2 linked regions of the Ovis aries genome follow. The protein of the gene in region 2 interacts with the protein of the main gene of each other region in a pairwise test. Links are inferred from orthologs where the notes say so. Each region holds a gene or a part of one and is shown on either strand. Other genes may lie near its edges.

Region 1 (9,997 bases), on a different chromosome or scaffold from region 2:
AACAGTCAGCTCGGGCAAGGACTCAGAAAGAACTCATGACGGCACTGCGAGAGCTCAAGCTTCGGCTGCCCCCGGAGCGCAGGGGCAAGGGCCGCTCCGGGACTCTGGCCACACTGCAGTATGCGCTGGCCTGTGTCAAGCAGGTGCAAGGTGAGTGGTGCTCCTGGGAGGGTAATGGTCAGGTTCTGGGTGACCGTGGGGAGCTGTCTCCTTGCTAAATGCGCTGCTGCCCACACCCCATAGGGATTCCCTTCTACCTTAATCGCTAAAGTATCTGCTTGCAATGCAGGAGACCTGGGTTCCATCCCTGGGTTGGGAAGATCCCCTGGATCAGGGAATGGCAACCCACTCCAGTATTCTTGCCTGGAAAGTCCCACGGACAGAGGACTGGTGGGCTGCAGTCCATGGGGTTGCAAAGAGTCAGACATGACTGAGGGACTAAACCACCACCCACCCCTGCAGCCAACCAGGAGTTCTACCAGCAATGGAGCCTGGAGGAGGGCGAACCGTGTGCCATGGACATGTCCACCTATACTCTGGAGGAGCTGGAGCACGTCACGTCTGAGTACACACTCCGCAACCAGGTCAGTGCGGCCCGCCCCTGCACCCGACGTGCCCCCAGCCCCACTCCCACAGCTCCTAAACCTGTGCTGATCCTTACTCTCTCGCCTAGGACACCTTCTCCGTGGCTGTCTCCTTCCTGACAGGCCGCATCGTCTACATTTCTGAGCAGGCGGGTGTCCTGCTGCGCTGCAAGCGGGACGTGTTCCGGGGCGTCCGCTTCTCCGAGCTCTTGGCTCCCCAGGATGTGGGCGTCTTCTACGGTTCCACCACCCCATCCCGCCTGCCCACCTGGGGCCCGGGGGCCTCCGCAGGTGAGGTCCCCAAGTGCTCGGGGGAAGATGAGCAGTCCCCGGAAGCAACTGCTGTGAGGGCCCAGGGGACCCAGGCTTTTCCTTGCTGGGTTTTTCTCAGCCCAGGGAGGAGGTGGGGAGCCATACTCACTGCCCTCCTGGTCTGTCTCAGGTTCAGACCTCAAGGACTTCACCCAGGAGAAGTCTGTCTTCTGTCGTATCAGGTCAGTGGGGAACGTGGGAGCAGACCCCTTCCACCTCCCATCCCCCCACTCCTCTTTGCTGGGTCAGCCATGACCTTGAGCTGGAGGGTGGGTGGCTCTTCAATGATCATCTCTAATGCCCCTTTCTCTTCCTTGCTAGAGGGGGTCCTGACCGGGATCCGGGGCCTCGGTACCAGCCATTCCGCCTAACCCCATATGTGACCAAGATCCGGGTCTCCGATGGGGCCCCTGCCCAGCCATGCTGCCTGCTCATTGCAGAGCGCATTCACTCTGGTTATGAAGGTGGGCAGCCCCAGGCCTGACCTGGTTGGGGTAGGAGGAAGGGTGTCTCCTCTAGGCTGGGGGTGAGGCAGAACAGGAGTCTGGGAGACAACTTTGAAACAGGATGAGGGTTTGAACACCCCTTTAGAGGTCGAGTTGGGTAAGAACTCCAAGCTAGGAGAAGGCAAAAAAAAGTGCCTTGGTTTTCAGTTTCATTATTGGCGTGGGGCACAGAAATAGTCCAGACCGTCTCTGGAGGCCAGGGGGCTCAGGGGAGAGCTGTGGAGGGAATCATCTGCCAGCCAGCCTAGGCCTGAGGCAGCACATGGAGGGCCCGGGAACTGGAGCATTCTGCCTGAGATCCAATGGCCACGCCTCCTGTGCCTCAGCTCCCCGGATCCCCCCTGACAAGAGGATCTTCACCACACGGCACACGCCCAGCTGCCTCTTCCAGGATGTGGATGAGAGGTGAGGTCAGGATCTGGAGGAAAAGGAGGTGCCAGGGCCGAGGCTCTGGCCCCTCTGACGCCCCCTCTCCTCTCAGGGCCGCCCCGCTGCTGGGCTACCTCCCCCAGGACCTCCTGGGGGCCCCAGTGCTCCTCTTCCTGCATCCGGAGGACCGACCCCTCATGCTGGCCATCCACAAGAAGAGTGAGTTTCTCTCTTCCTGATTGCACTTCTAGTTGTCTACAGGGCTTCCTTAGGGCTGCCCCTGTGATTGTGTCTCTCAGTGCCTTGATTTTGGGGTTGGGGGGATTCCACCTCACTTAGCTCTCCCTCCCACTGACTTGCACCTTGTTTCCCATGGCCTTCAGTCCTGCAGCTGGCTGGCCAGCCCTTTGACCACTCCCCTATTCGCTTCTGTGCCCGTAATGGGGAGTATGTCACTATGGACACCAGCTGGGCTGGCTTCGTGCACCCCTGGAGCCGCAAGGTGGCCTTTGTGTTGGGCCGCCACAAAGTACGCACGTAAGTGGGCACATAAGTGGATCATGCCCTGGAGGGCCGGCCAGCGTGGAGGGGCCAGGGCTCAACTCCCCTCCCGCACCCCACAGGGCGCCCCTGAATGAAGATGTATTCACTCCCCCGGCCCCCAGCCCCACTCTGTCCCTGGACTCTGACATCCAAGAGCTCTCGGAGCAGATCCACCGGTTGCTGTTACAGGTGAGGGTTGATGGGAGGGGGCTTGGGAGACAAGAAAGGGGGCAGAGCAGGCCTCAGGCCATCTAAGCCATAGTCACTCTCCCTGCCTCAGCCTGTGCACAGCCCCAGCCCCACGGGCCTCTGTGGAGTCGGCCCCGTGCCTTCCTCTGGCCCTCTCCTCAGCCCTGGCTCCTCCAGTGACAGCAACGGGGGTGATGCCGAGGGACCTGGGCCTCCTGCCCCGGTGAGTGGCCCTTGAGTCCCCTGTCCTGTCCCCTTGTCCTCAAGAGTCAGCACTGCCAAGCCCAGGGGAGCGTCGTCCACCTCCTTTCCTTTCTTGTTCTGCTTGCATCGTGACCTCCCCACTGGGGCCTCTCTTGTACTACGCTCTGGGCTCCCGAGGCTGGCCAGGCCCCCCAGTGCTGCCCACTCCCTGCCCTGTCCCACAGGTGACCTTCCAGCAGATCTGTAAGGATGTGCACCTGGTAAAGCATCAGGGGCAGCAGCTTTTTATTGAGTCCCGGGCCCGGCCTCTGACCCGGCCCCGTGTCCCTGGTGAGTCGGCGAGGGTGTGGGTGGGGAGCGAGGCCTGGGGGTCCCCAGACCTTCAGCCTAACCCAGAGGAGTTTCTCTCTCCTTGGTCCAGCTACTGGCACATTCAAGGTCAAGACCCTTCCCTGCCAGTCCCCAGAGCTGGAGGCAGCCCTGGCTCCAATCCAGGCCCCAGTGGCCTTGGCCGCCGAGGAGGCTGAGCGGAAAGAAGCCTCCAGTTGCTCCTACCAGCAGATCAACTGCCTGGACAGCATCCTCAGGTCAGGCCATCCTGGCACCTTCTCTGCCTGGGGCCACGGCCCCGCTCCACCTAGACCTGCCCTCATGTCCTCTGGTGCCTCCTCAGGTACCTGGAGAGCTGCAACCTCCCCGGCACCGCAAAGCGCAAATGTGCGTCCTCCTCTTCCTGCACTGCCTCTTCGGCCTCCGACGACGACAAGCAGCGGGCAGGCCCAGTCTCTGTGGGTGCCAAGAAAGGTGAAGACTCGGGCCTGCTCTGCTCCCGCCGCCCTGTCCTCTGGCCCTGTGCCTCTACATGTCTTTGGGGCCCCCACCTCACTCTGTCCTGTCCCCCTGCCAGCCTCCCCTGTGCCATCCATCTCCTCCGCACCAGGCTTTCCTTTCCCAGCCACCCAGGGGGGCGGGGTGGTAACTGGCACCATCTCTCTGCACAGATCCATCAGCAGTGCTGCCTGGGGAGGGGGCCACCCCTCTGAAGGAGCCGGTGGTGGGAGGAGGAGCCTTGAGCCCGCTCGCCCTGGCCAATAAGGCGGAGAGCGTGGTGTCCGTCACCAGTCAGTGTAGCTTCAGCTCCACCATCGTCCATGTGGGAGACAAGAAGCCCCCGGAGTCGGGTACGGGTGTGGCTGAGGGGCGCAGAAACAGGGCTCCATCTGGTCCCTCAGCCAGAGCTACCTCCTTCCTTGCCTTCTCCTGCCCTCTGGCCCCAAATGGAGAGAAGGAGCCTCCATCTTAGCGTTTCTCACTCTCTGCTCGCCCGCCAGCCTTCGCCGCCTCGTCTGTCCCCCACCTTGCTTCCTGTGTTCTTACTGTCACACACAAAGTCTGGGGTGCAGGGTTCAACCTAAGGTGCTCCCCACAGAGGGGCTGAAGGCAACACTGTTGTAAAACCCTTGAAGGGTCTTTGGGTATTGACCTGGAAAATGCGTGAGGAAAGAGTCGGGATGGGCTTCCCTTCCGAGGAGGGTCATGGGGGTGTCATCCTTGGGTAAGGCCCCTGGAGGGGACCGAATGTCCTTTCTTATTACCCTGAGACACCTTTGCGTGGAGCTCCCCAGAGCCGGTCCTTGGGGGGACGTGGCCAGGATTTGCAGGGGAGGCCTAGGCTTGGCTGCAGGGTGGAGGCCGGGGGTTTGGCTAAGCTGTTGGACGTGGAGGGGTTGGTGCAGGTGTGCTAATTGTGAGGTGCTTCTGACCTTTGCCTCATCTCATCCTCCTCAGACATCATCATGATGGAGGACCTGCCCTCCTTGCCTCCCGGTCCAGCTCCCAGCCCTGCCCCTAGCCCCACAGTAGCCCCTGATCCGGCCCCAGACGCCTACCGCCCAGTGGGCCTGACCAAGGCCGTGCTGTCCCTGCACACACAGAAGGAGGAGCAGGCCTTCCTCAGCCGCTTCCGAGACTTCAGTAGGCTGCGTGGATTGGACAGCTCCTCCACAGCCCCCTCGGCCCCTGGGGAGCGAGGTAACCACCTGGGATACCCCTGAGCCTGCCCAGTCGAGGACCAGAATGTCGGGGGAGGGAGTTCTTGAGGGAGAGGCTTCTGCTCCAGGGACCCAGGCTGTTGCTCCCTCTACCACCAGGGCCCTGCCCAGGGACAGGCCCCTCGCCAGCCTCTCCCCACTAGGGTGGGGGTCTGGGCTGCCGCCCGAGAAGGGCAGCCTGAGGAGCTGCACTCAGAGGCAGGCCAAGGCGCTCAGCTTCCGGTAAGCCGCTCCAGGCCTGGTGTAGGGGCAGGAAGTGTGCCGACTCAGGACTCTGTTGTTGCTGATTGGGAGGTCTATGTAGACTGGCAGGGAGGACCGGGGCAACTTCAGGGGGCAGAGGATCAGCACTTCAGGGCAGCTGGCTGCCCTCCAGGTGCGTGTGGGAGGCTCCCTGAAGGCAGACGTAGGACTCAGGACTGGGCTTTCCTGCCCGCCTCTTCGCTCCGTCATGCGCTAGGCAGAGCATGGCGCGGCTGGCAGTGCCTGCTGGAGTTTGGCCGAGGGGTCGGAGCCACCTGCCCACCCGTCCGTGGGCCTACCCTGCCTCCTCCTGTCTGCCAGCATGCCTCTGTCTCCTGCCCTCCCCCAGCATGACCCCTTATGTGACCTTTCCTTTCTCTGGCTCCTCTGTCCATAAATCCTCCCCTGTCGCTGTAATTCTTCCCTGAGGAATTCTTCCCTCTGTTATGTGTGGGCCGGGGAGCCAGAGGTCCTTCACCTACCCTCTCCCTGGTCAGAGTGGCAGGGCGGTGGGGGCTGCAGGGGCCTAACCACCAGGCTGAGGGCCTTGCTAACCCTCGTTTCTCCCTTCAGGCTGCCACCACAGCCCTGCCACCCCTGGCCGCCGCCACCACTGCCGATCCAAAGCCAAGCGCTCACGTCACCACCAGACAGCTCGGGCCGAAGCCCCTAGCTACATCTCCCAGCCCTCGCCTGTGCCACCCTCTGCCCCCTGGCCCCCACCACCAGCCACTCCTCCCTTCCCAGCTGTGGTCCAGCCATACCCTCTCCCTGTCTTCCCCCCGAGAGGCAGCCCTCAGCCTCTCCCTCCTGCTCCCACGTCTGTGCCTCCTGCAGCTTTCTCTGCCCCCCTGGTGACCCCCATGGTGGCCTTGGTGCTCCCTAACTATCTGTTCCCTACCCCATCTACCTACCCCTACGGGGCACCCCAGACGCCTGCCGAGGGGTCTCCTACCCCTGCCTCCCGCTCCCCATCTCCGTCCCTGCCCCCGCTGCCCCCCAGCCCTCCCCACCGCCCCAACTCTCCGCTCTTCAACTCAAGATGCAGCTCCCCACTCCAGCTAAACCTGCTGCAGCTTGAGGAGCCCCCTCGTGGTGAGGGGGGTGCAGCGGCAGGGGGCTCTGGGAGCAGTGCTGGGCCCCCCCCTCCCAGCGAGGAGACGGTGGAACCAGAGGCCAGACTGGTGAGCTCTGACCCGGTTCCCCCCGCCCCCGTCCTCTTAGGGCCCCCACACAGCTCTCACCACCTGGTCCTCCCCTCTCACGCTTCCTCCTGCCCTCCTGGTTGTCCCCAGAGGATGGGGTCATGGGGTGGGAGACCCCAGCTGAGTTTCTCAACAAGGCAGAAATCAGCTGCCTCATCTGTGAAGTGGGGACAGTCCTGTCTGTCTGACAGGTGGTGAGGACATCCCCATAAACTTCTGAGAGTACGTCTGCCACTTGGAAGGGGTCCAGCGTCACATCCCTCCTCTTCGCCAGTTCTCCTCTCACTCAGCCTGAGCCCATTGTCGTGGAGTGGGAAGAGACCACTTGGGCTGGGTGTGCCCCCAACCAGTGGCAGCAGTAGAAGGGAAGCCTAGGTGTTGATTCCTTAATCCCTCCCTGTCCCCCTTGCCTCCCCTCCTTCAGGCGGAGGTAACTGAGTCCTCCAACCAGGACGCTCTCTCGGGCTCCAGTGACCTGCTGGAGTTGCTGCTACAAGAGGACTCTCGATCTGGCACGGGCTCTGCTGCCTCAGGCTCCTTGGCCTCCGGCTTGGGCTCTGGTTCAGGCTCCCATGAGGGGGGCAGCACTTCCGCCAGCATCACGCGTGAGTGCCGCCCCCCCCCCCAATACTTTCCAGGGTAGGACAGTGTCTAGGGAGTTGGAAAGCCAGGCCGCACCTTGGCTGAGTAGCCTGGGTCCACGCCCTGCTTTCTAAGGCCAGTGGGCTGGACCTACAACCTTGAGTGAGGCCTGGTGGAGCACCTGCTGGCCTGACTGTTGGCTGCCTGCTTCTCACTCTACAGGCAGCAGTCAGAGCAGCCACACGAGCAAGTACTTTGGCAGCATCGATTCTTCAGAGGCTGAGGCTGGGGCTGCCCAGGCCAGGGCTGAGCCTGGGGACCAGGTCATTAAGTACGTGCTCCAGGATCCCATCTGGCTGCTCATGGCCAATGCTGACCAGCGTGTCATGATGACTTATCAGGTGCCCTCCAGGTGAGGACTTTGGGAGCACTCCTTGCCTCCCCTTCAGAGGAATGGGGAGGCTGCCCCCCCTCACTCCCTAGCTAACTTGGGTTTTTCTTTCTTGGCCTGGCTCTGCCCTGGGGCATTCCTGTTCTGTCTCCTGCCCCTTGGAGCCCCAGCAATAGTCAGGCTGAGAGCAGCTTTCCTGGTTTTGGGAAGGCCTGAACTCTCAGAACACGTTTCTGGGGAGAAGCATGAGGCACAGAGTGGGACGCTGCGATAGAAGAAAAGTGCCAGTCCTCCTTGTGGGCCCTGGCCCCAGCTCCCATTCTCTGCCTCCTGAACTTCTTCCCGGAGCAGGGACATGGCCTCTGTGCTGAAGCAGGACCGGGAGCGGCTCCGGGCCATGCAGAAGCAGCAGCCTCGGTTCTCGGAGGACCAGCGGAGGGAACTGGGTGCTGTGCACTCCTGGGTCCGGAAAGGTCAACTCCCTCGGGCCCTTGATGTGATGGTGAGAGAAGTCCACGCTAGGAGGGTGAAGAAGGAATTGAGCTCAAGTTGAAAGGACAGAGGGCTGATCCCTTCACTGTTCTTGGATCATTAATTCTGAAGGATGTTAATTCCACTGAGCTTGCTGTTGGGTTATTTAGTGTTAAACCATGTGAATTTTGTGGACCTTTTCTGGGCCAGTACTGTACTAATGTACATTGTGGCTGTCCTGCTGTGGGGTCTGGAGACAGGATGCGATGCATTTTCCAATATTGTTGACCCCACGTGCATCCGCCTGAATCAGTATTTCCTAGGCATACAGTTTGGAAAGTACTCTGGGGCTTGGGGACAAGGGGAGCTGGGTTGGCAGGTCAGCACTGAGAATCTGCCTGACTCACGCATACCCTTTCTTCCTCCAAGGCCTGTGTGGACTGCGGTAGCAGCACCCAAGAGCCTGGCCATCCTGATGACCCTCTCTTCTCGGAAGTGGATGGACTGGGGCTGGAGCCCATGGAGGAGGGCGGAGGCGAGGGTGGTGGCGGTGGTGGTGAGGGTGAGGGCAGCAGTGGGGCCCAGGCCCAAGCTGGGGCCAGGGTCTCGAGCTCTCAGGACCTGGCCATGGAAGAGGAGGAGCAAGGTGGGAGCTCACCCAGTCCAGCCTTACCTGCCACAGAAAATGGCACCAGCTAGACTCCGTCTTGGGCCACCTCCAGATGTGCACGAGAAGCTTCCTTCTCTCATGCCCCAACTCTCAGAACTCAGATGTGGCTGGACCAACCAATAAGAGAACTGCCCCAGCTTCTCCTGCTGTGGGGGGGTGGGGCCCCGTCACCAGCCCAGGACCAGGGGCTGCCTCTGGCCTCTTTGGGAATAGGGTGGCATTCTTCAGCCCAGCCCAGCCCAGAGAAGCCTCCCATCACATCCCCGGTGAGGAGTCATTCCTCTTCCTGGACAAGATTGCTGACAAGCTGCTGAAGTGGTCTCTCCAAGTCCCAGCTGAGCTGGAGTTCCTGTCCCTGGGGATTGGGGCTGCATTTATTTATTGGGGGAGTCAGTCCTCTCCCCCACCTCCTCCCCGGATGAGGGCAGGAGGAGGGTGTGAGGCCCAAGCAGGACCCTGCGGTCCAAACCCCTAGCTGCTCCAGGGTGGGGGAGGTTGGTGGACCATGGAGTCCCTGGTGCTGCCCCTCAAGTGGGACCCAGGTGTTCTCAGCTGTACCCTCTACCAATGGCATTTGTGTTTTTGATATCGTGTCTGTTATTTTTAATACAAAAAGGAAAAAAATACCAGGTCTTTGTGAAATGAAGTTTGAGGGCTGGGTTGCCCCCGGCCCCGGGGGGTAGAGGAGGGAGGCTCTTTCCCTCCCCTTCCCGGAAAGTAGTAGTGAGAATGAGTTATTGCCTCCCCTGATGACCTATATAATCTCCCCACACCCTTTCCCAATGAGAAGGCAGGTCTAGGTGGCTAAGACACGGAGTCCCACAGTCATTCATAGTCTAGTTGGGAAGCGGTGTGGGAGAGGGGAAGCTGGTGCAGAGTGTTAATGCTCTGGCTCAGAAGTTGGAAAGGGGGAAAACTTGGAAAGGATAAGTGATTGGAGATTGATAGCAACCTTTGTTCCATATATTTCTCGTTTAGTGCCCCTTCGTGAAGAGCTGATCTATATCTAGAAGCAACCAGCCCCTTACCGGCGCCGTGGCTTAGCTGGTTAAAGCGCCTGTCTAGTAAACAGGAGATCCTGGGTTCGAATCCCAGCGGTGCCTGGGGTAGTTGACTGTAGTATATTATTGCTGCAAAGGGAACGTGTTTCCAGACACCCCCCCTACCCCCTCCGTCTCTACTGCAGTTTACCGAAGATGATTATTCTTATCTAGCCAGTTCCTCACCATTTGAATTTCCATTCCTGTGCACTTTTAGTGCAAATTTGGAGGCCAACTCCAGCTTTCATGAACCATGGTTTAGCAGCCTCCCTTTGTCTACCTACAAGGATATGAGAATGTTGACTCAGATTTGGGCCCGTTTTGCATGGTGTCTAGGGGTAGGAAGGAAGGACCGGAAAGCTGCCTCGTCTGTTGCCTCACATGCGCATGCGCAGTGGCATATCACACCAGCAGGGCGGTACTCGCTGCAGACGGGAGTGTTGATAGGCAGCTATAGTTGCGCAGGCCCAGGGCCGCACGCGGCTGTGATGGCCGAGTGGTTAAGGCGTTGGACTCGAAATCCAATGGGGTCTCCCCGCGCAGGTTCGAATCCTGCTCACAGCGTCAGTAATTTTGGGGGCAGAAAGGAAGCAATTAATTTTTCTAGTGCTGATTCCACTTTTATTCTGAGCCTCTA
Region 2 (11,160 bases):
CTGATTTTTCTAACACTGTTGGCAGTTAAAAGAACATTTAATAGGACTCCTTATAGATATTTTTGAGCCCAAGGTAGGGTTGTGCTTATAGAATCTTAGAATTTTAAAACAGTATAGAAAATTTAGAAATCATCCAGTTAAAACCCCCCATTTTACATATGAATTAAGCTGGTCAGGAAAACCCTAATGACTTGCTCAAGAGCAACAACTAATTAACTGCAAGCTGAGATATAACCCAGCATTTTCCTTGTTAGTCCCATACTTGTTCAACCACCAGGAAGTTGGAACCAACCAGAACTTCACAAGAGATTCCTGAAAATGTTACCCATACCTTCTTTTCCTTACACATAAACACTCAATCTGAAAAAGAAAGGGAGAGGTGTTATCAGTGAGGGATAGTATGTGATAAGCAAAGAGCTTTGGGTTCAGAAATAGTCGTAGTTTTTCATCTGGTTTTACTACTTATTTGTATTTGAGCTTTAGCATCTTCATCTGCACAGTAAGCATAAACTATTATTAAATAATAATAAGTGGCCTTACTGGATTAATAATAACCTGCATAAAGTACCTGGAGTATAGTAGATGCTCAATAAGTCACAGCTTTATTTTATTGAAGTATAATTGCTTTACAATGTTGGGTTAGTTTCTGAAGTACAACAAAGTGAGTCAGCTGTATATATATATATAATCTCTCCCTCTTGAACCCCACTCCCACCCATAACTCTCCACCTCAAAATCACCGTTTATTAAATTGTTGCAAAACATATTAAAGTAATAATCTTGTTGTTCAGTTGCTAAGTTGTGTCCAATTCTTTGTAACCTCATAGACTGCAGCATGCCAGGCTTCCCTGTCCTTCACTATCTCCCAGAGTTTGCTCAAACTCATGTCAATTGAGTTGGTGATAATATTTAACCATCTCATCCTCTGCAGCCCCCTTCTATTGCCTTCAATCTTTCCCAGCATCAAGGTCTTTTCCAATGAGTCAGCTCTCCACATCAGGTGGCCAAATTACTGGAGTTTCAGCTTCAGCATCAGTCCTTCCAGTGAATATTCAGGGTTGATTTCTTTTAGGATTGACTGAGCTCCTTGTAGTCCAAGGGCATCTTGAGGGTCTTCTCCAGCACCACAATTCAAAAACATCAATTCTTTGGTGCTCAGCCTTCTTTATGGTCTAACTCTCACATTTGTACATGACTGCTGGAAAAACCATAGCTTTGACTATATGGCTTTTTGTCAGCAAACTGATGTCTCTGCTTTTTAATATATTGTCTACGTTTGTCATAGCTTTTCTTCCAAGGAGCAAGTGTCTTTTAATTTCATGGTTGCTGTCACCATCTGCAGTGATTTTGGAGCCCAAGAAAATAAAATGTCACTGCTTCCAGTTTTTCCTCTTCTATTTGCCATGACAATAGAAGGGACCAGATGCCATGCTATAAAAACCCCACACTCTTTGAGGAATGCATGGTTGACAGTACTGACATTTTCATAATTTACTACTTTCATGTGTAAATGAAAGTTACACACATACCCACATATAGCTGTCTGTTTAAAAGATCCATCTTTATTGAATGGACAGTTGGCAAACATAAACCAATTCCACACAAATCAATATTCTATCTTCCACTGTTTCATTTGGCTGCTTGAAAATACTTATATCTTTAGACATACTCTGCTTATTTTCAAACTGCCTAAAATGAAACATGAAACATTGTATTTTTAAAAGTATGTTAGGCCCTGGAGTATGAGACAATCCAAGTGAAGGCACAGCTCTGTCTGCCACATCCTCTACAAAAGCGATCGGCCCCTTGGAGTGGTAATTAATCAAGGCTCACCCTCATAAAAATAACTGTTTAATGCTTCATAGTGAACAACAGGCTTTCACATACTATATAATTTTCAATGTTCTTAGCAAATTGAAGAGAGGATGCTATGTCCTTCCTATGGCAACGAAAGCAGGGTTAGGAAAGACATCCAGACATACTGGCTCACTAAACGATGAAACTTATTTTGCTGCTGTATTAGTTTGCTAGAGCTGCAGTGGCAATGTACCCCAAAATGAGTGGCTTAAAACAGCAGGAATTTATTGTCTCACAGTTCTGGAGGCTGGAAGTCTGAAATCAAAACGTTGGCAGGGCCATTCTCCCTCTGAAGACACTAGGGAAGGATCTGTTCCAGGCTACTCTCCTAGTTTCGAGTAGGTCCTTAGTTTATGGCAGCCAAACTAAGATCACGGCATCTGGTCCCATTACTTCATGGGAAATAGATGGGAAAACAGTGGAATCAGTGTCAGACTTTATTTTGGGGGGCTCCAAAATCACTGCAGATGGTGATTGCAGCCATGGAATTAAAAGACGCTTACTCCTTGGAAGGAAAGTTATGACCAACCTAGATAGCATATTCAAAAGCAGAGACATTACTTTGCCGACTAAGGTCCGTCTAGTCAAGGCTATGGTTTTTCCAGTGGTCATGTATGGATGTGAGAGTTGGACTGTGAAGAAAGCTGAGCGTCGAAGAATTGATGCTTTTGAACTGTGGTGTTGGAGCAGACTCTTAAGAGTTCCTTGGACTGCAAGGAGATCCAACCAGTCCATCCTAAACGAGATCAGTCCTGGGTGTTCTTTGGAAGGACTGATGCTAAAGCTGAAACTCCAGTCCTTTGGCCACCTCATGTGAAGAGTTGACTCATTGGAAAAGACTCTGATGCTGGGAGGGACTGGGGGCAGGAGGAGAAGGGGACGACCGAGGATGAGATGGCTGGATGGCATCACTGACTTGATGGACATGAGTTTGAGTAAGCTCTGGGAGTTGGTGATGGACAGGGAGGCCTGGTGTGCTGCGATTCATGGGGTCGCAAAGAGTCGGACACGATTGAGCGACTGAACTGACTGAACTGAAGTCCAATTTCCATAAGGCCTTCTCTCCTGAGTATGAGACTGCTGTCTGCACCCAAATTTCCCCTTTTATAAGGACACTAGTCATTGGATTTGGTCCCCGAATGACCTCATCTTAATTTCATCATCTGCAACGATCTTATTTCCAAGTCAGGTCAAATTCACAGGTACTAGGGGTTACATGACTTTTAGAGGTACACAACTTGGTTTGTAATAATTGCCATATCTTTCCTCCTTCTAGCCTTGTGAAACACACTGGTGACAAACAATTAATTCATTCACTCTTTCATTCAATAAACATTTGACTGTGTCGAAATATATTCCCTAGCTCAAAGGTGTTGTAGTGAGCGGCAGATTCTAAACAGCATTTACAGAGCGAAAAACAGCACATATAAAGGTTAGGAGACACATCGTGAACTTCAAGAGGGCTTTTCTCTTCCTCTCTCTGTGTACCTCCAGTACTTTAAATAGTGCCAGTTTCATTCAATAAGTGATTGTTGAATGAACTTAAAGTTATTGCATGCCTAAGGAACAGCGATTCCCTTGTAGTTCAGTCCCTAAATAACCTGCCTGCAATGCAAAAGACCCAGGTTCGATTCCTGCGTGGGAAAGATCCCCTGGAGAAGGAAACGGCAACCCACTCCTTGTCTGGAGAATCCCATGTACAGAGGAGCCTGGCAGGCTACAGTCCATGGGGTCGCAAAAGTTGGACACGACTTAGTGACTAAATCAAGGAACAGCAAGGCCTGAAGTTCATTGTCCTTAGAGGGGTAGGCAAAGTCCCATCGCAAAGAGCCCTGTAAACCGCACTAGGTGTAAGAAAGGAAGGCTGACATGTTGACAACACAGAGATACTATTAAGGAGTTCCAGGGATGCCTGGCACCACCCTCCGAATTAATCCTCTTCCCCAGAGCTCATACAAGGATCCAGTAACGCTAGGGGCACAAGAATGAGAAGGGAGCCAGCTCTATACACTCCAAAGTAGGGTTGGGTTCTCCAGCTAAAGCTGGATGGAAACACATGTTTTGGGCTCTAAGTCGATGTGGAGCCTCCTACTCTGCTCTTTCCACTCCATCCTGCCCTCACTCATTCCCCGCCGGATCCTCGTTCCGACTCCTGGAAGACACCGCGATGTCTCCACGCCTTCCGCGAACTCCGCGGGAGGAATCCCCTAGCGGGCTCCGGATCGCCGGCCCCGCCCTCCTTGACTCCGAAACGCAGCGAGAGCGCACGCGCGCCCTCACGGGCAGAGCGCGAGCTCTCTAGCTCCCCGCAGCCCCGTGCTCATCCGGGTCTCAGCGAGTCTCAGCCAATGGTGGACGTTCACAGCCCCCGAGGGCGGGGCTAAATTTTCCCTCACATGGGGCCTCGGCTCACTCTGGGCGCTTTCAGGCAACCGCGATTTGTTGGCCGAGAAAAGGGACAGAGGCAAAGTGTCTAGCGTCTGGGAGAGGACCGATGGATTTGACATGGAGCAGCTGCCGCCTCCTAGAAGCGACTGAAGTGCAAGCTGATACCCCAGTCGGAGCCGCTGTAGTAAACACACTTCAGAAACGTGAGGTGCCGGTGGTCACGTGAGGAGTGCGCCCTCCAATGAGGAGCCGAAGGCGGGGCTGAAGCCGCTGACGCGGCGGTGGCGGCGGAGTCACCCGGGCAGCCTCGGGACGGGTCACCGGCCGGCAGCGGTCCAGCGGCCTCGACCACCGCCTTGCGTGCTCTGTCCTCACTTCTCTTACCCGGGCCGAGAGGCAGCGTGGCCGACAGTGACTGAATTCTCTCTCATCCTTGTCGGTGGCTCGCCTCAGGCGGGGCCGTCTGCTCCTCGGGGGCCGCCTCGGTGGGCGAGGTTTCCGTGCAGAGAACCTCTTGGGGCTGCCCGCGCCCGCGCGGGCCGTGGTGGAGTCTCGGGCTTGTGGAACTTGGTCAGCCTCCAGAGGTCCGGGGACCTCGAAGTTATGCGTCTTTTCCAGTCTGTGGCGGCGGGTGCCGGCCCCTAAAGGGCGTCACACCGGGACTCCGCTGACTGGGCAACCTCCATTCATCTTCCAGCTGCGCCGCCAGCGCCCTCTCCCTCTTCAGTCCCTTCCTCGGACTCATCTTTTCCTTCCCCTCCTCTGCTTTCCTCACTCCTTGGGTGCGGCGATTCTCCTGCGTTCGGAGTTGTCGGTTATGAGCCGGACCCTCCCACCCTGAATTTCTCGGCGGAGGAGCTCGGCGGCGCCGCACCGCGGCACGCCCCCCCCCCCGCCCCCAGCCCCCGGGATGGGGGTGAACGCCGTGCACTGGTTCCGAAAGGGGCTCCGGCTTCACGACAACCCCGCCCTGAAGGAGTGCATCCAGGGCGCCGACACCATCCGCTGCGTCTACATCCTCGACCCCTGGTTCGCCGGCTCCTCCAACGTGGGGATCAACAGGTGGCGGTGAGTCAAAATCCTGTGGGAAATTGATTTCGCTGTTTAATGAATCAAGACTTTACATGCCATCAGCCAGACCTGAGAATTGAAATCTTGCACCGCCTTGCCCGTACTGTTTGAATTATTGCAGGTGCTTTAAGTATTAAATAGAACGGACTTAATAGCCTTGAGGCGAGAGAGTTCCGGCAGCCTGAAACACCTTGGCCTTCAGGTGTGAGTTACGTGTCTCTGCGCTCGTAGGAATTCTTCCCCTGGATTTATGGAGAATTCTTAGTGGTGGAGTTAAAGAAACACCCTTCCAGTTCTCAATGGCCCGTGTGTTGATTTCCTTGGCCTCTGTGGCATTTGGGGTTGCGGTCTTTAGTGTTTACGTTTGTGTGTTAACTCATAGTATGGAGAAAATCATTCATTCAGTAGAGTCCCCTCCAAATCTAGTTTTCTTCCACCTTGAGGTTGCCAGAGGAAAAGCAAGGGACATTTCTTTGCTCAGTTCTTCCTCTCAACTCCTCCTTGTGGTTGAATAGACAAAGCACAGTTTTTCTTTCTAGGCAAAGTATAATCCTTCCAGGATTTAGAGCACTGGAAGAAATCTTAGAGAAGCTTTATGATCTTTTCCTGACATGCCAGGCCAGATGATTATTAGGCCCCGTGGTGGAAATGAAAGCATTCTTTCAGCAGAGTATTGATCACCTGCTGTATACCAGGGCTTCCCTTGTGGCTCAGCTGGTAAAAAAAAAATCCCCCTGCAAAGCGGGAGACCTGGGTTCTATCCCTGGATTGGGAAGATCCCCTGGCAAGGGGAAAGGCTACGCACTCCAGTATAATGGCCCGGAGAAATCCATGGACTGTATAGTCTTTGGGGTCTCAAAGAGTCTGACACGACTGAGCGATTTCACTCACAATCACTTACAGCCACAGCTTTAAACACCAGGGATACAGTAGTGAATGAAACAAATAGAAATTCTTGTCCTTTTCTAGCACATGTCCCAGAAAGTATGTAGTAATGTAGTAGATGATAAATGATGTGCGGAAATACAGCTTTTATGTGTACAAGGGAGTGGGATTGGAATTGGGAGTTTAAAATATGGTGATAGGGAAAAACTCAGAGAAAGGGACAGTTGAGCAAGATGATGAAACAAGTAGATTACAGATATCTAGGGAAAAGCATTCCAGGGAGAAAGAACTAAGAAAAAGGGCCTGAGGTGGAATATGCTTAACCTTTGGAAGGAACAGCAGAAGAAGCCAATGTGACTGGAACAGAGTGAGAGGAATAGTAGTGTATGAGGTCAGAGATGTAATAGGGCCAGACTGAGTAGAGCTTTATAGGCAGTTGTCAAGATTTGGGCCTTTACTTAGATGAAAATAGGAATAATTCTAAGATTATGAGCAGAAAAGTGATGTGATTTGACTGAAGGTGTGTTTTTTTTTTTTTTAAACTTCTCTGGCCGTGGTTCTGAGAACAGACCCAAATTGTGGGGTGGAGGTGGACAAGAAGCAATAAGACAGGTTAGGAGTCAATTGCATTAATCCAGGTGAGATATGATAATAACTTGGACCATAGTGATTGTGGTGGACATAGGGAGAAGAAGTCAAGTGCTGAGTGTATTTTGAAGGCAGAATTCACAGTATTTATTGACAGATGTGGTGTGAGAGAAAAGGAATTAGGAATAATTTCAAAATTTGATTTGAGAATCTAGAAGGGTGGAACTGATCTTTACTAAGTGGTCAGTTGAAGAAGCCATTGAGAGGGTGCTTTGAGTTTTCTTTTGAACTTGGTTAGTATGAGATGTTTATTATGCATCCAAGTGGAGATAGCAGATAGATATGTCTAGAGTTAAGGTTAGAGATCCTGGCAGGAGGTATAAATTAGAGATTCATCACTTTATAGATAACATTTAAAACTATTAATCCATTCATATATTGACCAAATATATTGTATGGATCTACTATGTGCTAGACACTTTTAGGTGCAGGACATTAAACAGAATAGCTAAAATATCTCTGCAGTGTTGAAGATACATTCTAGTAGAGCTGTGAGACTATATGAAAACATTATGTGAATTTATACAGATAGAAAAGAACTGAGCCTGGGTACTTGAATGTATTTAAATTGTGGACGTGTGGAAGAAGTAGCATAGGAGTTTGAGAAAGAACATCTGGTAAGCTAAGAAAACCTGAAGATAATGGTGTCATAGAAGCCAAGGAAAAAAGGACAGTGGCTCAAAGAAAATGTTTGACCTTTGTCAGGTTGCTCGTCGTGTGAGATGAGGACTGAAAATTAAGAATCATATTTAGCATTTTGAGATCATAATCTTGATTAAAGTGGTTTCAGTAGTGTCAGGGGCAAAAGCCTTTTTGGACTGGCTTGAGAGAGGCTGAGAGGAGAGAAGGTGGGGATAACTCACATAGATAGCTCTTTTAAGTTTTCCATTGGGGGGGAATCAGAGAAATGGTGTAGAAGAAGGTGAACTCAAGAGAAGATTTTTTTTTTTTTAAAGATGAGAGAAATTACAGGATATTTGTGTGCTCATGAGAATAATACAGCAACTGTATATAAAACATTTTCATTAGCAGAATTGGTGTCATTGATTCTGGAAAAAGATAATGCATGTTATATATTCTAATCTATTCATATCTTAACAATAATATAGTAATAAGTCTCTCTTCATAATATTGTTAGGAGAATTAAATTAGTTAAAAGATGTGAAATGCTTAAAATGTGAGTGGTGCTACTACTGCTACTACTAAGTCATACTAGGAAGTGCTTATTTGCTGTTTGCTCTTAAATTGAAAGTCCTAGGTAAATAGTATCTACTTAAATGCCTACAGTTTTAGCATTTTAAGACTAAAACTGATAAGTATAGGAATCCCTTGAATAACAAGGAGATCCAGCCAGTCCATCCTAAAGGAAATCAGTCCTGAATATTCATTGGAAGGACTGATGCTGAAGTTGAAACTCCAATACTTTGGCCATCTGATGTGAAGAACTGACTCATTGGAAAAGACCCTGATGCTGGGAAAGATTGAAGGCGGGAGGAGAAGGGGATGACAGAGGATGAGACAGTTGAATGGCATCACCGACTCAATGGACACGAGTTTGGGTAAACTCTGGGAGTTGGTGATGGACAGGGAGGCCTGGCATGCTGCAGTCGATGGGGCTGCAAAGAGTCGGACACAACTGAGCGACTGGACTGAACTGATAGGAATCTCATATTTTCCTTTTAAAAAGGATTTTTTTTTTTACTACTAAATATTGCCCTTGATGAATAATAGATAGGTAAAGATGTAAATAATGAGTAGAGACAGACTTTCTTCCACTGATGACTATATAAAAAGGAGGGACAGAGTTTTAGACTTTTCTCTCAGCATCAGATTCAGTGCTTTCATATAGTGGTAACTCAGTTACTGTTTGTTAATGAAATGACATCCTGGAGTCAATAGTTTTATGTTTAAACAACTTTGCTACCTTACTTATTGACCATAGAATAAGGTGCAAACTCCTTAACTTGGCATTCAGGCTGTCTTGTGGGTTTTGGTCTTCTTTCCTTTGTACTATTTCCTTAATTAACAAAATTTCCTAGATTTTTGGATTTAACAGAAAAACAAATCTCAAAAATCTATTTTGCATAAGAAAATTAACAAAATTACCTTTTGATGTTGCTGTAATTTTCATTTAAAATGGGTTCTTTCTAAGGCAACTGAAAGAAGAACAAGCAAAACCCAAAGTTCGCAGAAGTAATAAAATCGTAAAGACCAGAAATAAATGAAATAGAGACCAAGAAAACAATAAAAAGATCAATGAAGCTAAAAGGTAGTTCTTTGAAAAGATAAACAAAATTAATGAACATTTAGCCAGATTCACAGTATATTAAAAAGCAGAGACATCACTTTGCTGACAGAGGTCCATATAGTCAAAACTATGGGTCTTTCAGTAGTCATGTACAGGTGTGAGATTTGGACCATAAAGAAGGCTGAGTGCTGAAGAATTGATGCTTTTGAACTGTGGTGCAGGAGAAGACTCTTCAGAATCCCTTGGACTGCAAGGAGATCAAGCAGTCAATCCTAAAGGAAATCAACCCTGACTGTTAATTAGAAGGACTGATGCTGAAGCCGAAGCTTCAGTACTTTAGCTATATGATGTGAAGAGCTGACCCTGATGCTGGGAAAGATTGGGGGCTAGAGGAGAAGGGAGTGACAGAGGATGAGATGGTTGGGTGGTATCACCAACTCAATGGACATGAGTTTGAGCAAGCCTGGTGTGGTGCAATCCATGGGTTGCAAAGAGTCGGACATGACTGAGCGACAAAACAGTAACAAACCAGACTCATCAAGAAAAAAAGGGAGAGGGCTCAAATCAGTAAAGTTAGAAATGAAAAAGGATATATTACCCCACAAAAGTACAAAAGACTGTAAGAGATTACTACAAGCAACTATATGCCAATAAAATGAACAGCCTAGAAGAAATTAGCAAATTCTTAGTAAGGTGCGAATCTCCCAAGGCTGAACCAGGAAGAAATAGAAAGTACAAGCAGACAAGTTATAAGTACTGAAATTCAGTCGTTGATTAAATAACTCCCAATAAACAAAAGTCCAGGACCAGATGGCTTCACAGGCAAATTCTGTCCAACATTCAGAGAAGAGTTAACACTTATCTTTCTGAAACAAATCCAAAAATCTGGAAGAAACACTTCTTCACTCATTGTGTGAATGGCTTCACTCATTCTGTGAAGTCACCATCACCCTAATACCAATCAGAAAAAGGCACCACAAAAGAAAAAAAAAAAAGAAAAAAAAGACAATTACAGGCCAATATCACTGATGAACATAGATGGAAAAATCAACAACAAAAGATTATTAAACTGAATCCAACAAAACATTAAAAGGGTCATACGCCATGATCAAGCGGAATTTATTCAGTGATGCATGGATTTTTCAATATCCACAAATCAATCAGTATGATACACCCCATCAACAAATTGAAGAATAAAAACCATATCAGAAGACGCAGAAGAAGGCTTTTGATAAAATTCAACATCCATTTATAATAAAATCCCCCAGAAAGTGGGCATAGAAGGAACATACCTCAGCATACTAAAGGCCGTATATAACAAACTCACAGCTAGCATGTTGCTGCTGTTGTTCAGTTGCCCAGTCTTGTCTGATTCTTTGCGACCCCATGGACTGCAGCACGTCAGGCCTCCCTGTCCCTCTAGCATACTCAGTGGTAAAAAGCTGCTTTTCCTCTAAGATTAGGAACAAAACAAGTATGTTCACTCTCACCACCTTTATTCAACATAGTTTTGATGACACAAACAGATGGAAAGATGTACTTCATGGTCTTTTTGTTTCCATACAAATGTAAAAATTTTTATTCTAGTTCTGTGATAAATGCTATTAGTAATTTGATAGGGATTGCACTGAATCTGTAGAGAGCCTTGGGTAATATAGTTGTTTTGACAGTGTTGATTCTTTCAACCCAAGAATACAGTACATCTTTCCATCTGTTGGTGTCATCTTTGATTTCTTTCATCAGCATCTTATAGTTTTTGGAGTACATGTCTTTTGCCCCCTTAAGTCAGTTTAGTCCTAGGTATTTTATTCTTTTTGATGCAATAGTAAATTTGATTGCTTTCTTAATTTCTCTTTCTGCTCTTTTGTTGTTAGTATATGAAAACGCAAAAGATTTTTGCGCATGAATTTTGTATCCTGCAACTTTTATCCTATTCATTGATCAGCTCTAGCAGTTTTCCGGTAGTGTCTTTAGGATTTTCTAATTTGAAAAGTTACATGAATCTAGTGCTCATAGCAACATTGTTTACAATTGCCAAAATATGGAAGCAACCTAAGTGTTCA

What was found.
Region 1: the proteins of CRY1 (region 2) and PER1 interact in binary tests that used the Homo sapiens proteins (3 or more experiments, as listed by UniProt). The link is inferred for Ovis aries from reciprocal best matches to the Homo sapiens genes CRY1 and PER1.

What each region holds. Positions count from the first base shown.
Region 1 is NC_056064.1:27,594,384-27,604,380, reverse strand, and holds the end of PER1 (period circadian protein homolog 1), read left to right. Parts: coding exon 1-150; intron 151-462; coding exon 463-584; intron 585-673; coding exon 674-875; intron 876-1,026; coding exon 1,027-1,078; intron 1,079-1,217; coding exon 1,218-1,360; intron 1,361-1,728; coding exon 1,729-1,807; intron 1,808-1,883; coding exon 1,884-1,990; intron 1,991-2,154; coding exon 2,155-2,308; intron 2,309-2,394; coding exon 2,395-2,503; intron 2,504-2,594; coding exon 2,595-2,726; intron 2,727-2,931; coding exon 2,932-3,037; intron 3,038-3,128; coding exon 3,129-3,294; intron 3,295-3,380; coding exon 3,381-3,511; intron 3,512-3,708; coding exon 3,709-3,888; intron 3,889-4,495; coding exon 4,496-4,738; intron 4,739-5,574; coding exon 5,575-6,185; intron 6,186-6,630; coding exon 6,631-6,811; intron 6,812-7,010; coding exon 7,011-7,200; intron 7,201-7,530; coding exon 7,531-7,681; intron 7,682-8,079; coding exon 8,080-8,349; 3' UTR 8,350-8,946; and 1 more. UniProt on the Homo sapiens protein: Transcriptional repressor which forms a core component of the circadian clock.
Region 2 is NC_056056.1:175,961,049-175,972,208, reverse strand, and holds the start of CRY1 (cryptochrome-1), read left to right. Parts: upstream 1-5,155; coding exon 5,156-5,313; intron 5,314-11,160.